Linked DNA regions of Daphnia pulex. The protein of the gene in region 1 purifies or fractionates together with the protein of each later gene. This does not show direct contact. Links are inferred from orthologs where the notes say so. Each region holds a gene or a part of one and is shown on either strand. Other genes may lie near its edges.

Region 1 (7,101 bases):
AACTCATGAGTCTACACAGCAATCCGTCCTCCGTCTGCCAAAGGAAATAAATATGTATGAGCATGTAAAGTGGCTCGTGACTTGATAATGTGTTTTTTTTTCTTCCGACACTCACCGAGCTTTTCAATTCGTAATGTCGACTGCAAATAACTTCATTCTTGTACTCGATCGCTGCGTCAACAGCTTCAATGGCTTCGTCCAACTCGAGCATGCGGCGTTCCTCGCTGGCATCCAAGTCGCGCCCCTATTTTTTCGTGAAAATTAAAACAGGATGAGAATTTGGCATTCATCATATTACAATTCGGGACTGGACTTTTACCCTGTGCTGCCTTTCGTCGAGTTCTTGCCGTTGTTGAACCAAAGAGTCTCTCGTGTGTCTCATTTTACGAATCTCTTTGCGAATGGCCTCCTTGTCAGTGGGATTATCATTTCCGGATATCGACTGTAGGTCGGACAGCTTATATTTAAGAAACGAACTGCCTGATGTTTGAACGATCTAAATTTGATGGAAGAAAAGGGTTAGAATTGTTACGCAAGATGTGTAATTAGTAGAACAATTACTTTATCATTTGACTCCATATCTTTTTTCCGCTTGCTTCCTACATCGCCGATGGAACTTGTGTGGCTCTTTTCGGTTTCGCTTTGATTTTTCGATTTGTCAAGGGCTATTTCCCTTTTTTCCAGTATACTCTGCTTCTCTTCTAGTTCTTCGGAGCGCCACGTTATGGCTGTACGCAGTTCGACCAAACGTTCCTCCTCTGCTACCAGCCAGCGCCACTTGTGCTCCAATTCAGATTCACCAGGTGTGCCGTCTGCGAGTCCAAACAAAAGAAAATTGCCGTGTTATTATATAATATGGGCGAATATTAGATTATTATTATTTTTTTAAATCTACCTTTATCACTGCAAAGTTCAAGGAAACGCATTTCGGAACTAACTCGTTGTTCCTGTAGCTGACGTTCAAGTTCAACTATACGCACATGATCCTTTTCTATTTCTTGTTTCAACTCTTTTTTCTTCTCGTTCTCTTGACGAAGCTGCTCCTTTAGAACCGATTGCTGGTCCTTCATAATGGACAGACTTCGCTCCAGTTCGCCAACTCTAAAATGGGAATAAATAAAGTACCATTAGTTGAGTCAAACGATCCATAGAATTTCACAAATGTAAAATGCAATTACTTCCGAGGAGCCCGCGCAGTTAGATCTAGCAACTCTGCCATGTTTTTTAAACAGTGTTCAAAGCGTATAATCTCAGCCCGCTGTTGGCCGATTGTTCGTTCACCGTCAGTGACGTTGTCGCTTTCTTGTTCGATGGGACTGCTGCATTCATCACTGTTGTCTTCTGACTGTTTCCTATGGCGGGGTGGAATATTTAGATCGGATTGATGAGGGACCCTATCCTGCTTAAGCGATTTCTGAATTTTCTCCTGGTGAGTTTTTGTCTGTTCGTTTTCTTTGCTGTCACGAGTAAAATCCACATATTCCTCCTTTAAAAAGAAAATAATAATAAAGATAGTTAAAAATTACTGGGGAGATCAACGTCAGATCGGCAAGCTAACCTTCAAAGAAACTGTCCGTTTGAGCTCCTCAAGGGTTTGGTGAGCTTTTTTAAGTTGTTTGTTCGTTTTCCATGTAAGGAGTTGTCGTTTTTCTGAAATCTCAGCAGAATGTCGCATTTCTCGACATGCATCGTCTTCCGCATCGCCTCCGACTTTCAGGCTCCCTTCAACTGCCAAGAAGCAACAAAGATGTTTAGTGTTTAAAAAAATATAAGATATCATCGACTATAGGTTGAAAATTCAAAACTGATTCAACTACTTAGTACTTACTTGGATGATTAGATGATGATTCATTATTTACAGATTCTGGAGTTGATAAACGAGTTTCACCTATTAGAGGCTGTTGGTCTACTGCATTTGAAAGACCGAATATACTAACTCTTCGACCAGTTCTTAGAGGTTTCGGACTGGTATTCCCACTTTTATAATTGCTAGTTGATTGTTCGCGGTCAAATTCAGCGTGTTGAGATAAATCAATAGGATTTGATGCACCCCATTCTAAAGACGTTGCGTTATCATACATTGACTCGATGCTTGAGATTAAACGGTCAGTTGTTTCTCTAAATTGCTGCCTTAATATATCCAGTTGCTCCGTAAAGTGAGACCCCTAATATGAAAGAAATTATACGATATTTTCATTTTACGTTTTTTTATGTTAAACAGAATGCTGCATTATTCCCGTTCTTACATCAGATGACGAGTCTATGGACGACCGATCATGCCTGTTACTCAGTTCAGAAGAAAGTTCACGGGTTGGAGTGGGCTCGGATACCTCTTCTACAAATTAATATAATAGTTAAAACGACTATCACACGCACACACTAAAGATTTAGTTACCAATGACATGGAGTGTTTTAGATTCACCACTGGTGTGAAATATGCTTGTTGTGATAGGCAAGTCTGTCAGGTGACTGCCATCGGTATCACTCTGAATTCTGTTTCGCGGTTTGATGGTTAACAAATCGGGATCAATACAGTTTGCGTATTCCTCTTTCAAACAAAGCCAAGATTCTATTTTGTTTTTGGTGTCATTTCCAAGCAACCCAGATGCAGCCAACTCATTTAAAAGTGTTTCGGCGTTGGTCACCAGTAATTGCCACTGACTTGCTGCGAATCGTAATCTATGGGAAAGAGAAATGCAATTGCTGAATGAAAGCTTCAATTTATAAATTTAAAAGTCTGACCTAAAAACTTCATCTCCGTCTGTTTGTTCAGGATCATGATATACAGATCGATTTTCTTCATTGTCCCTCATAGGATTAGCTTGACAAGTAAATGGAGTTTCATTCATTTGAAATTGCGGAATGTTAGGCGGTGACACAAGTTCCGTCACACCAGCCAAATTAAAAGGGCGAGCGTTTATGCCCATTGCCATCAAAGGAATATTAGCTATCGGTGTAAGGCGGACATTCGCTACTGGGCGATTACAAATGTTTGCTGCCCTTGATGCGAACTTCAACGTATTCGTCGTCTCTTCCAAATCAGAAGCCGAAGGAGAAAGGCACACAATCATCAAGGTGAAGGCATTACCACCCAGTGAATCCTACATGAATAAATTTAAATGCACAGTTAGATCGTAACCAAAAGAGAGAGTGAAAAAGAAATGTTTTTGACAAAATAAACACACTTTCAGAATGTAGGTTAATTTCGAATCCCAATAAGGCACGTGGCTAGCTTTTCTTCTAGGATCACCCAATGCAGCCGTGACATTACTTAACGCAAGAAGGCCAGAATTAATGGAAAATGGTTCCTGAAATCCTGTTAGTTGTGTATCGTCGTTTCCATGATTACTGGTAACACCGAGGCCAAGTCTTTCCGATCCAGCCAAGTCGACAAAATGGAGTTTAGAACACACTTCATACAAACATCCATCTGAAAGAAAATATGTCAAGTTTCATTGAGAAAATTATCAACAAAAGAATAAAGAAAAGTAGTCAACCTTGTGTCCATGCCTGTTGCATATAGAGTGTGAAAATTCCATGGGATCTACTTGAGAGTTGATTTAACATGGGCCCAGTATGTCTTAAAGCCAGACCAGTTTCAAGACAGCTAAATACATCATCAATGGTATGACATTCCATTTGTGTTGCTCCAGTGATGATGATTTCTCCCTAAATTCAATATGTAATAATTATAGCATTGCTATTATCAGCAATTTCACATTTAAATTTTTTTTTTTTTTAAATAATACATTTTGATCTTCTTGTACAGTAATTTCACCATGAAAGGGTTCCATACTCAGAAGATCATGAATTTCTTCATCATAGATTTCTAAATAGCTTGCTTGGATAGAGATCTGTCTTCCGGGGTATTCCTAATTAAAAAAAATTCCCAAAATATCAAACAAAAACCAATTTAGTTATTTAATCTTCACATATTTATTACTTCAAACTGTTTACTTTAGCTTTGTAAAACAAGTTACGAACAGTCCGTGGAACCATACCAAAATCAGATTCATTCATGGTGTAGAGCAATCCAGGTCCAAATATTGTAAATGTTTTCCCAGATCCAGTTTGTCCATACGCTATTACAGTTATGTTGAAACCTGACATACCAATACCATATAAGATGACGTTAAAAGTATAAGAAGTTGCATAACAGTTCTTTTCTTAAATTATTTAACAGACCATCAAAACAAGCATTGACAATTGGCTCGACATATCCTTTGAATATTGCCTGTTGAGGACAATCAAATGGGAGAACATTGCCCAAATGAAATAACCGATTGTTTCCCAGCACAATTGTTCCATGGGATGGATCAATTTGAAAATATGGTGTTGGTAAAACATGATCAGTTGTTTGTAGTGAACGAATCTAGTTAAATTTCAAAAATTGTGAACAATGGGTTGAAATACAATTACTTAATGAAAAAAAAAATGGTTAAAGTTCTTGTTTACCCGGGTTACGAGTTGAACTCGGGCTTGTAAATCCCTGTCTTGACTAGCGCTGAAAAGCATCACGACATTGATAATACAGTTAAGAATAGTTCTTGTTGGATAAATTAACCAATTAACAATTCGGATCGCACAACTGACAGTAGGAAAAGATGATCACACAACACCTGACGTAATTGTATATTATTATTTTCAAGGAAACAGAAACAACAACACCTTTTCCCTTTTACTTTAAATGTCAAAAAAAGAAGGGTGTCCGTAAAGTGCAGGGTGCAGGTGCAGGTTGGACGGTGGGTAAAAAGCGGAACCCGGAGTGCAGGGGCCCTGCACTTTCCCCAACCGAGCGGCTCCCTTGGTAAAATACAGGTTTAGAATTCTACACTAAAATGCAGGTTAGGAAAAGTGCAATGTGCAGTGAAATTTTATGTTTGACTGCCTTCAGTCAGTTATTATCCATTTGCGTGTACTTTTTATTTATTGTCTACACTCTGTTGCGCGCTGAATTATGAGGGCCCAAAACCGCCACTTTTTCAATATAAATTTTTTTTCAAAATATCAATACATAAAACAGAAAAGAATATAAAAATAAAAAAATTCAATATAAAAACTGGTAAAAAGTATTACATAAAAACCAAAAAGAGTAATATAAAAAACAAAAAGTTAATATAAAAACCAAAAAAGTCAATATAAAACCCAAAAAAAGTTCAATACAAAACTCCAAAAAAGTTCAATATAAAAATGGCAGCCACCTAGTGGTCAAAATAATAACTTCATGCCACATCTAAACCTCCACTCAACCAACCTAACCTGCACTTTCTGTGAGCAGCATTTGGGCCTGCATTTTACCCACCTACCTGCACGCCGCACCCTGCACTCCGGGTTCCGCACTTTACCCACCGTCTAACCTGCACCTGCACCCTGCACTTTACCAACACCTCAAAAAGAAAGCGCAGCGGCTAGATTTCCAAGTTTACCATTTTTTAATGGCAACTGCTACTTAGCTTTGCACCTTACACATATTTTAAAATACTCGACTCCGTCATGTTGTTCGTCGTCCAGGACAGCCTTTACCTCCCACTCCTCGTCATCCATTCACTGCATTAATCTAAAAAAAAATGGAATTATTAGGAAATTAAAATTGCGAAAAAAATTAATCACGATTACCTTTGCTTTTCAGCTTCAAGAAACTGTTTAAGTTTTTGAATGTCATCATTCTTTTAGCGGAACTGCTTACTCATTTTTCTCGATTGTTCGAAAAAAGCATTGTACATGTTGACCTAAAAAAATTTAATATTAGAAATAATGACATTACACAGTAAAAAACAATAAAAAAATACCAATTTGGCCATGCCATTCTCCAATTGTTGACTGGTGACGACGTCTTCTTCTTCAATTTCAGCTACTTCCCCTACGCCATCGTCCACATCTTCAACATCCATACAAGAAACTTCTTCCTCTGCTTCCTTGAAATTTCCAACAGGCAAAGTTTCTAGTGCAGATACAGGTACAAGTACAGGAGGTTCAAAAGTAGTTCTTTCATATGGAATATAAACAGGATCACCTATTCCGTAGTGAAAAATTTGAGGATATGTACATTCCTAAATTGTTAACAATAAGAAACGTTGTTCAAGTAAAAAATAATAAAATGAAAGAAAACATAAGAGATATACCTTGTGCATTTATCGAAGCCACATTCGCTTTTGAATACCAGTTTCGTTGAACACTTCATACAAATTCTATCTATTAGACTGACGTATAGACGAAACACTGAAGTCCAAGTCCAGTACATATTCATTGTCTTCAGACAAATCATCAGCTCGTAGACAATGATAATTTGCGACCATAAATTTGTGTAAAGCATCACAACCCTCCAAGGTTAATAAAAAAACGTTTTATCATAAAATACTGATCACTTAGGTCTTGACGTTGATCAAGATTAAAATTCGATAAAGATTAAAATTTCCCCAAGATGTTGGTTTAGTTCCACAAAACGCTCTTCTTGTTGACAAAATTTGTTCTTGACCTTGGTAGTGCTCTCCACAAATTTCTCGTAATTCGAAACCTATAAAAACACAACATTGAATATAATAACCCAAAAACAAAAAAAAAATAACTTACCCATAAATTACTTACAAGATTAACGTAGCCATCCTCTATATTTCGGTAGTGTTTTTCTATTTGGTCTTCTTTCGCATTCTCCGTCGGACACCTTTGCCAAATACACCTCCCCATCTTGAACTTCGCTGCTCTTGATGAAGCAATTGATTGAAACGTAAATTAATAAGGTAAATTAGATACAATAAGGTTCATTATTGCATGTAAACATAAAAAAGATCTATCGCAAAGATCCCTAACACCAACTTCGCAATCAAATTCGTTGACTGCCTCTTCATGGCAAACAATGGCCGCATCTGCAACCGCAACACCGGCAACAAGAGCAACAACTTCAGAAACAACATCCGTATTGAATGGAATCTGTTCCGCCGGCAACTCAATTTCTTGTCCGCAACGAATTATTTCAGGAAAAACATTATCCTACATTATTGACCCCCCCCCATATTTAACAGAAATGTACATTAATACTGTCAAATTCCTCAAAAGTAATTAGAACTAAAAATAAAAGTAAACAATAAAAAATCATACCTTATG
Region 2 (7,293 bases), on another chromosome or scaffold:
GCCAGTCGGAGTAGAAAAGAGACGAAATCGACGTCGCCATTGTATCCGAGCCGAGTTTTGAGATCGGCCCAGTGGCGGGCGTTGTTCTTGCCGATGTAGATGGTGCGGGCGGGATCGGTCGAGGCCGGATACGGATACGGGTAACCACCTTTGGGCGGTCGACCCTTTCTCGGGCGCATAATCTGCCCATCGGGACCGATCGCTGCCGCTGCTGGCATTTTATTCACTCGGACCAGAACCAAATCGTCGATTGATTTTGGCTAATAATTAGTCCGCAGAAATCTCAAAATCCGAGAGAGGTAAGCACGTGCCCGATTTCACTTGACACTCACGCACATGGTACACACACCAGCATGTCGGGTGCACCTGCATCCACACACAAAAACACGTTTCTTGTAACCAGAAGAATTTGAAAAATAAAAAATAATTTTTCAAGGGTTTCACTGGCACACACGCTCTCACTGCGCTGGTTGTTGTTGTGTGTGTGTGGAAAAATAAAAATAACGTTTGGCGCCAATCGTAAAAATAGTTTGGGAGTAGGCGACGGCCGCGACCTCACCGCACGGAAAGCTTCAACTAGACTGAAGCTCCTCTAGCGGCACTACTCAGCAAAAGTCTAGTGTGTGAAAAAAGAACCTCCTTCTTTAGGGGGGGGGGGAGGAGGGGCTGAAAAAAAAATCGTCGTCTGTTAACTATCGATAGATATCGCTCACAAAAAGAAATGAAATAAAAAAATGTTTTGGAATAAAAAAGAATTGAAAAATAAATGAAACAAAAAAATTCCAGAATGGGGAAGCCAAAACACGATTAACACACACATGTTTAGTTTTGTTTTTGTTTTTAATTTTTTTTTATCATGTCAGATCTGTTTTTGGGTTATCATTTTCAATAAAAGATGACCTAAGAAATGTGGTGGACACCTGCCGAGTACATTTCCAGTTGTCGCTAAATTAATCTTAAAGTCAGCCAACGAAAAAGTTGCTCACCAGTTGGTCGTCTAAATTTACAATGGCAACAAGACACCTTCTTCTTCTTCTTAAAAGTCTTGCGTTTCGTCTATAACGCGGTTGTGTGTTCTCCCAAGGTTAAGTCTGGCCGACCCGGAGAGACGTGTACTACGTCGGAAAACGGCGAGAATGAGAGAATCGACGGTAAAAACAAGTGGATGGAGGAACGACCAGATGAAAATAAGGATGTCCTGCTGCTGCTGGCCAAAAGGGAGGAGGAGGACCGACCGACTCTACACGCATCTATTTTCAAAAAAAACGAAATGGCGTCGTCTTGTTTTTCTTTTTTTCCACCCGTCAAGTGCGTGTATATGTGCGTCTTTATAAGAGATGAGCGACATGTTTTTTTCTCTCACGACACACAACCCAATTTTCCCTTTTTTGATGGTATGTCCAACATTTTCCCGCGGGATTAAAAAATGCGAAAAACATAAAACAACTTTTTTCTTTTATTTTAAATAAGGAAATTCTTCTTTTCTTACGAGATGATTGGGTGAGAATCAAGTTCATTGTTGACTCTTAAAGTCTGAACGCGTAGAAGAAGAAAAAAAAGGTCGGAGGGGCCCCCGCGTGCCGCCCGCCCCAACCTCCCACTTTCTTTCCACCCCAACGGGAGGAGGTGGCCGCCCTCCTGCCGGGAGTCGGCCATGTTCTCTCCCCCCTCCCTTCTTTCTTTTTCTCTCAGCATCCGCTCTTTTTTCTTCTTCTTCTTCTTCTTCTTTTCCTTCTTCTTCTTCTTCTTCCTTCTTTTCGTTCTTGATAGGCTCTCCCCCTCCCCGTCTGCGTTAAGAGCACCAGGGTTCGTTCGTCTGTACGTGTGTGAGAATCAACTCCCCCTCCTCTTCTTTTTTTTCTCTTCCTTCATCATCGGCGCAGGGTCCAGGGAGACTGGCCCGCCAGTCCGATCGATGCCGTGAACCTTTTTTCTCTTCTTCTTCTTTCTACCCTCATCCGACTTTTTGGCCTTCGTGAAAAAAAAACACAAAATTCCCTTTTAGCTCAGCTGCTAAATGCAAACAACAATGAGTTTTGAAAAGAAATTGTTGTTGCATCACGCTGCTCATTTTCCCCTCCCGAAGGCCAAAAGATGAAAACTAACAAAATATACTCTGCGTCAAAAAAAAGAATTAAAAAAAAAAAGAGATGACCACTGCGCTTTTAATTACGCTTGAGAGGACCCGGCCGCCGCCACCTCCGGTCGCTTTTCCCTGCGTGAGCGGCCGTGTATCCAAAAAAAGCGTCCAACGACTAAAAGGCTGTGCTGGGAGAGGAGAACTTTTTCAAGGATTCGGCTGCTGCCCAGTCCTTTTTTGCACGACAGCCAAAGGCTTTTAAGAAAGAAATAGAAAAAGAGTGTAGACGAAATGAACACACAGATTCGACACCTCGTGTGTGTGTGTGCCTTTTTCTATAAATAGACAAGATTGGAAAAACGCATTTTTGGCAAGTTTTCAACGTCATTATAATTGCAGCAAACACGCAGCTTCCGTCAACATCCGCCCGAGATATTTCGTTTTGTTTTTTTCCAGAGAAAAGGAGATTCACGCAGGTCAGGTTCCATCCCACGCGCGAGCACGAGGAATAATAATAAAGGCACGTGGTTACAGTTTACAATTGTAAAAAAAGAAAAAGAATAGATAAAGAAAAGGGGTGGGAAAAAGAAGGAAAACAACATGAAAAAAAATAAAAGAAGAAAAAAAAGTTGAGAAAGACAAGACTTTTTTTTTATACAGTCGTCATAATTCATCGGGAACTACCGTCAACGCCATCTGTCGGTCGAACCAGCAAAACGTTTTGGGAACCACCACCTTTTTATAAAATAGGGGAGAGAGTAAAAAAAAATTGTTTTGATTATTACACACACAAAATTGGCAATGCATTCGAGATGAATTTCATCAAAAAGAAATATAATCACCCCATCGGGCTGCTGGAGGCAAGCCAAATCAGATTCTAGTTTGGCTAACCACTCGGAATCGACGAGGATCTGAAGCCAAGGACCTTTGGCTACGAGAGGAGCTGACGGTGAAGCCAATGCACCTCCCACTCTGCCCGTCAGGAGCGTCACCGCCGTTTCGCCGGCCACTGCTTTGAAGGTAAAATGCCGATCGTGTCGAAGTCGTCCCCTAATAATAAACAATTTAGAAAATAAGGAAAGACTGACAATGGAAATCAACTGGTAGGGTTACCGAAGAACGACGGGCAGGAGGGAAGCAGCTTCCAAGTTGAGCGTCAAATGGACACCCTTGTAGAGTCGTCGAATGGGCCAGATTTCGCCGTTGATGGTTGGTTCACCGTCGGCCGGTCGATGACGCCCGAGGGTCGCTCCAGCTTCCGGTTCATCTTCTTCGTCATCCTGACTACTAGAGTCGTCCTCAGCTTCCGGACTCCTCCAAGCCGAACCAGTTTTCGAAGTGACTTTTCTCTCCTCCCAGTGGCAGCGAGCGCTGACGCCCGACAACGAGCATCCGTCACGATCGATCCCTAAAAACATGGAAGCAGAATATACATCGGATTCTCTCTCTATAAATAAACTTTTACAAACGGCTCCTGTGAGGAGCGGCGCAACTTTTTCTCCTTACCATGTTCGACTTCGCGGCGGAAGGAGGGCTGCAATTCAAACAGCGATAACTGACGCTGCATGTCGGCAACAAGCCAAGGGCCTCCGGCACTGTGTAAAAATGGGCAAATCAATACAACTTTTTTTGTTGGCTATTCTCTAGAGTTATTGTGAAGCGGGGGATATTACGAGGGAACTCGTCGCAAAAGTTCCAACACGCTAGTTCCATTCCAGTGCTGGGAAACTTGCAACTCTTCCTCCGTAACGGCGACGACTTGCAGAAACTTGACGGAACCTAATGGCCCTTGGACTGGCGGTAACAAAAGATCCTCCGCCAGGAGCATGTGTTGCAAGCGACATTCAAAATCCGATCCGTCCAGAGGACAATGCCAGGAGACGTGGTCACCAGCGAAGAAAGAGTTACCAGTGTGGAAAACATACTTGGCAAGGGCCTGTAACAGAGCTGCTGGCCATGTGGGTGGTGTGGCTTCACCAGACTTTTTGGCTAGGCGGAAAGTCAGCTCAAAACCAAAACCACTGGGAAACTCTGGTCCTGAAGGCTCGTGAACTCTGCCATCACCGTGCAAGTCTGTCAGGCCAAAACTGATGTGAAACGAAATAATCAAGTCGTGCTTGGTAACAATTTAAGTGTCAATGTATACCTGATATAATGCCAATGTGGAGGGATGTGAAGTTCTGGGATTCCAGGATGATCATACATGCTTATATAGTCTAGAGGATCTGGACCACCAAGCCTGTAATTCATAATCAGGGTAAGTATTCGCAGCAATTGGGCACACTCCCAAGTGTTGATCGGACATCAGCAAGGTATCGAGTACTCACCAATATTTGATGAACGCTGTCACTTGCAATGGATTTGGTTGAAGAGGGTACACTTGTTTACATGATTCATACAATATTTCCAATCCCAATGCTGAAGAAGAAAGCATCAATTGTTGACCGTCATTGGGACCAGATTCGGGACCAAAGTTGCTGGCAACACTCGCCACATTTCCCGTTGCACACGTGTTTGCGACGACATGCATTTGTGCTTTCTGCATTGTTGTGTCTTTTATTATCACAATCTACTAATAAATAACAATAAATGTCAATCAACTAAACCAAAACTTCACTCCATTTCCAAACAATTGTGTATAGCAGAGGAATTTTTGTAACAATGCTTCGCCACCAGTTGATTTGGCAGCACTAGTTACTAATGTCATCGTTGATTTTTATCTTTTTAGTGAAATTAAAATTGAAATAAAGAAGACTATCAGGGCAGCCTTATTTTCATTTTTAGGGATAAATAAATTCTATAGTATTATTTACTATACAAATTATACTGACTTTTTAGCTAAGTGAAATTTATTTTTCATCATTCAATCAATAAGAGACATCTAGGAGTAGAGCCACAGGCTATTGCGACGTGTCATCGATCGGTCTGCTAATATTTTTATTTACATTCCAACTATACAAAAAATACCACCCACACGCACACAAAACCTACTCCCGTTCTCTCCTTGCACAATCACACCAATGGCTCATTTCTTTTAAAAGTTTAACATTACCAACCCTCCTTTATTAGTGCAATTTGTGAATAATGGTGCAGCAAACTAGTATCCCAGTAACAGAACAACACGAAGTAGACGAAAATGAAACAGTAAATGAAAAGTTGCGACTCGTTCCCCACGATGACGAAGACCAAGGTATAAAACTGTCGATATAGGAGCATCCTTTACCCGCATGTGCAGGGTTATGTTGTCCTGCATGTTGGTTTCCTTATCTACAAAGGAAACTTCAAGTGACTGCTTTGTTAACCACAGACAATGTTTCTAGGAGTTGTTTTACGAGTGTTTTAATACTTTTCAAACTTCTTGCATTCCTAGATAGAAAATATTACAAAAGAAATACATTTTTCTATTACTAACAGGATGCTGGGGGACTAGACATACCCTAGTCTTGCTAGGATTCTTGGGATTTGCCAATGTCTATGCCATGAGAGTGAATTTGTCCGTGACGATCGTAGCGATGGTCAATCAGAGCGCTATCCCACACATCAATCAAACCGCGGTGGATATCTGCCCAGAGACTCCAGGAGAGAGCCAATCCGGAATAGTAAAGGTAAATGACTCTAAAAAAAATGTCAAACATAATTGCAAAGTCACTAGGGGATCTAAGACTAGTCACCCTACTCGGCCCCTTGTACGCGATGCCCCTGGGTCTTTTCTTCTGAGATGATGGATTGGAAGCTTTCGCTAGACTTTGTTCATCCTTTTCCTGTCTCTCGTATTCTATCTCCCTCGTTCTCTCTGAGAGTTAATCCTGTCACGAGTCTTGGCTTTTTGTATATAGGCACGAAAATGGTCTGGAGCAAATGGCCGCGTGTCTGCAGTCTGGTGCACAGCTTAAGCCCGTCTATTTGTCATTCCCCGTCAAACATAATCCCATGCGAAACTAATGATCTTCAACATTTTTTCTTTTCTTTTTAAAAAGGACGGAGAGTTTGCCTGGGATGAATATAAACAAGGAATCATCCTGGGTTCCTTCTTCTGGGGCTACGTTTTAACGCAGATCCCTGGTGGGAGGTTGGCGGAGCTTTTTGGCGGCCGAAAATTACTTGGTTATGGCATCCTCAGTACTTCACTTTTCACTTTGTTGACGCCGTTCGCCGCTCGAGCAAGCGACACTTTGCTGATCTTCTGTCGAGTCTTGATGGGATTGGGAGAGGTATTACGATATTATTATAAAAAGGCGCTGCTAGTGCGCCACACTGGGAAACAGACATGGTGCCCTCCGCATGCCGAATAAATCCTTAAATCTAGCGAATAATTGACTGTTTCAACATCCATTAAGGGTGTGACGTTCCCGGCGATGTACGCAATGCTTGCCGAATGGGCTCCACCGTGGGAGAGAAGTAAAATGGCCGCTTTCGTTTTCACAGGTACGTTGGATTTTGTATAATGTTCATCGTGAAATTCTTTAAAGTTTATATTCTAATTTCTAGGCGCACAATTTGGGACTGTAATAACACTGCCTCTTTCGGGAATTCTTTGCGAGCACGGATTCGACGGCGGCTGGCCAACAGTGTTTTACGTATTCGGGACTTTGGGTATCGTCTGGTTCGCCGTTTGGATGCCCCTCACTGCTGATTCTCCATCTCGACATCTCAAAATATCCAAAGAGGAGAAAGATTACATTTGCAGTTCTTTGAAAGACTCCATTAAAAGGGTAATTCTTTATTAGTTTTAATCAAAAGTCGACTGGTTGATTTTTGTTCCTTAATATAGAAAAGTGCTCCCGTACCGTGGCGATGCATGTTTAGATCAAAAGCCTGCTGGGCTGTAGGGGCGGCCAATGTTGGTCACGCCTGGGGATTTTACACGCTGTTGACTGAACTACCGAGTTACATGGATAATATTTTACATTTTAACATGAAACAGGTACAAATAAAATTTGAAACAAGGCCAAGTGAAAAAGTCACTTAATCCGTTTGATATTTGAATGAATTTTACAGAATAGTTTCGTGTCCGCTCTTCCCTACTTGGCGATGTGGCTTTTCTCGCTCCTTTGCAGCACAGTCGCAGATATTCTCATTTCCAAACAAATATTTAGAGTTATTACTGTACGGAAGATATTTAATTCTATTGGTAACTATTTTTAAAAACGAGATGTTCAAGTTTAGTTGCGAGATTAATTTCAAATTTTGCAATTATAAAAGGCCAATACGGA

What was found.
Region 2: the proteins of kinesin-like protein KIF7 (region 1) and suppressor of fused homolog purify together in Drosophila melanogaster (affinity purification with western blotting; 3 studies listed by BioGRID, with this or other methods). This does not show direct contact. The link is inferred for Daphnia pulex from reciprocal best matches to the Drosophila melanogaster genes cos and Su(fu).

Annotation. Positions count from the first base shown.
Region 1 is NC_060028.1:3,196,245-3,203,345, reverse strand, and holds the start of kinesin-like protein KIF7, read right to left. Parts: upstream 4,720-7,101; 5' UTR 4,516-4,719; coding exon 4,456-4,515; intron 4,373-4,455; coding exon 4,186-4,372; intron 4,104-4,185; coding exon 3,958-4,103; intron 3,873-3,957; coding exon 3,750-3,872; intron 3,670-3,749; coding exon 3,498-3,669; intron 3,431-3,497; coding exon 3,186-3,430; intron 3,102-3,185; coding exon 2,743-3,101; intron 2,680-2,742; coding exon 2,396-2,679; intron 2,336-2,395; coding exon 2,247-2,335; intron 2,166-2,246; coding exon 1,829-2,165; intron 1,729-1,828; coding exon 1,559-1,728; intron 1,487-1,558; coding exon 1,179-1,486; intron 1,102-1,178; coding exon 896-1,101; intron 813-895; coding exon 562-812; intron 497-561; coding exon 320-496; intron 245-319; coding exon 116-244; intron 35-115; coding exon 1-34. UniProt on the Drosophila melanogaster protein: Regulates cubitus interruptus (ci) processing by recruiting multiple kinases to promote its efficient phosphorylation.
Region 2 is NC_060019.1:8,216,239-8,223,531, reverse strand, and holds suppressor of fused homolog, read right to left. Parts: upstream 4,774-7,293; 5' UTR 4,626-4,773; coding exon 4,408-4,625; intron 4,320-4,407; coding exon 4,227-4,319; intron 4,168-4,226; coding exon 3,754-4,167; intron 3,676-3,753; coding exon 3,587-3,675; intron 3,489-3,586; coding exon 3,194-3,488; intron 3,131-3,193; coding exon 2,923-3,130; intron 2,816-2,922; coding exon 2,744-2,815; 3' UTR 2,453-2,743; downstream 1-2,452. Other genes in the region: zinc finger and BTB domain-containing protein 4-like, read right to left, coding at 1-218; putative inorganic phosphate cotransporter, read left to right, coding at 5,165-5,270, 5,495-5,685, 6,058-6,291, 6,418-6,505, 6,569-6,792, 6,852-7,004, 7,079-7,211, 7,283-7,293.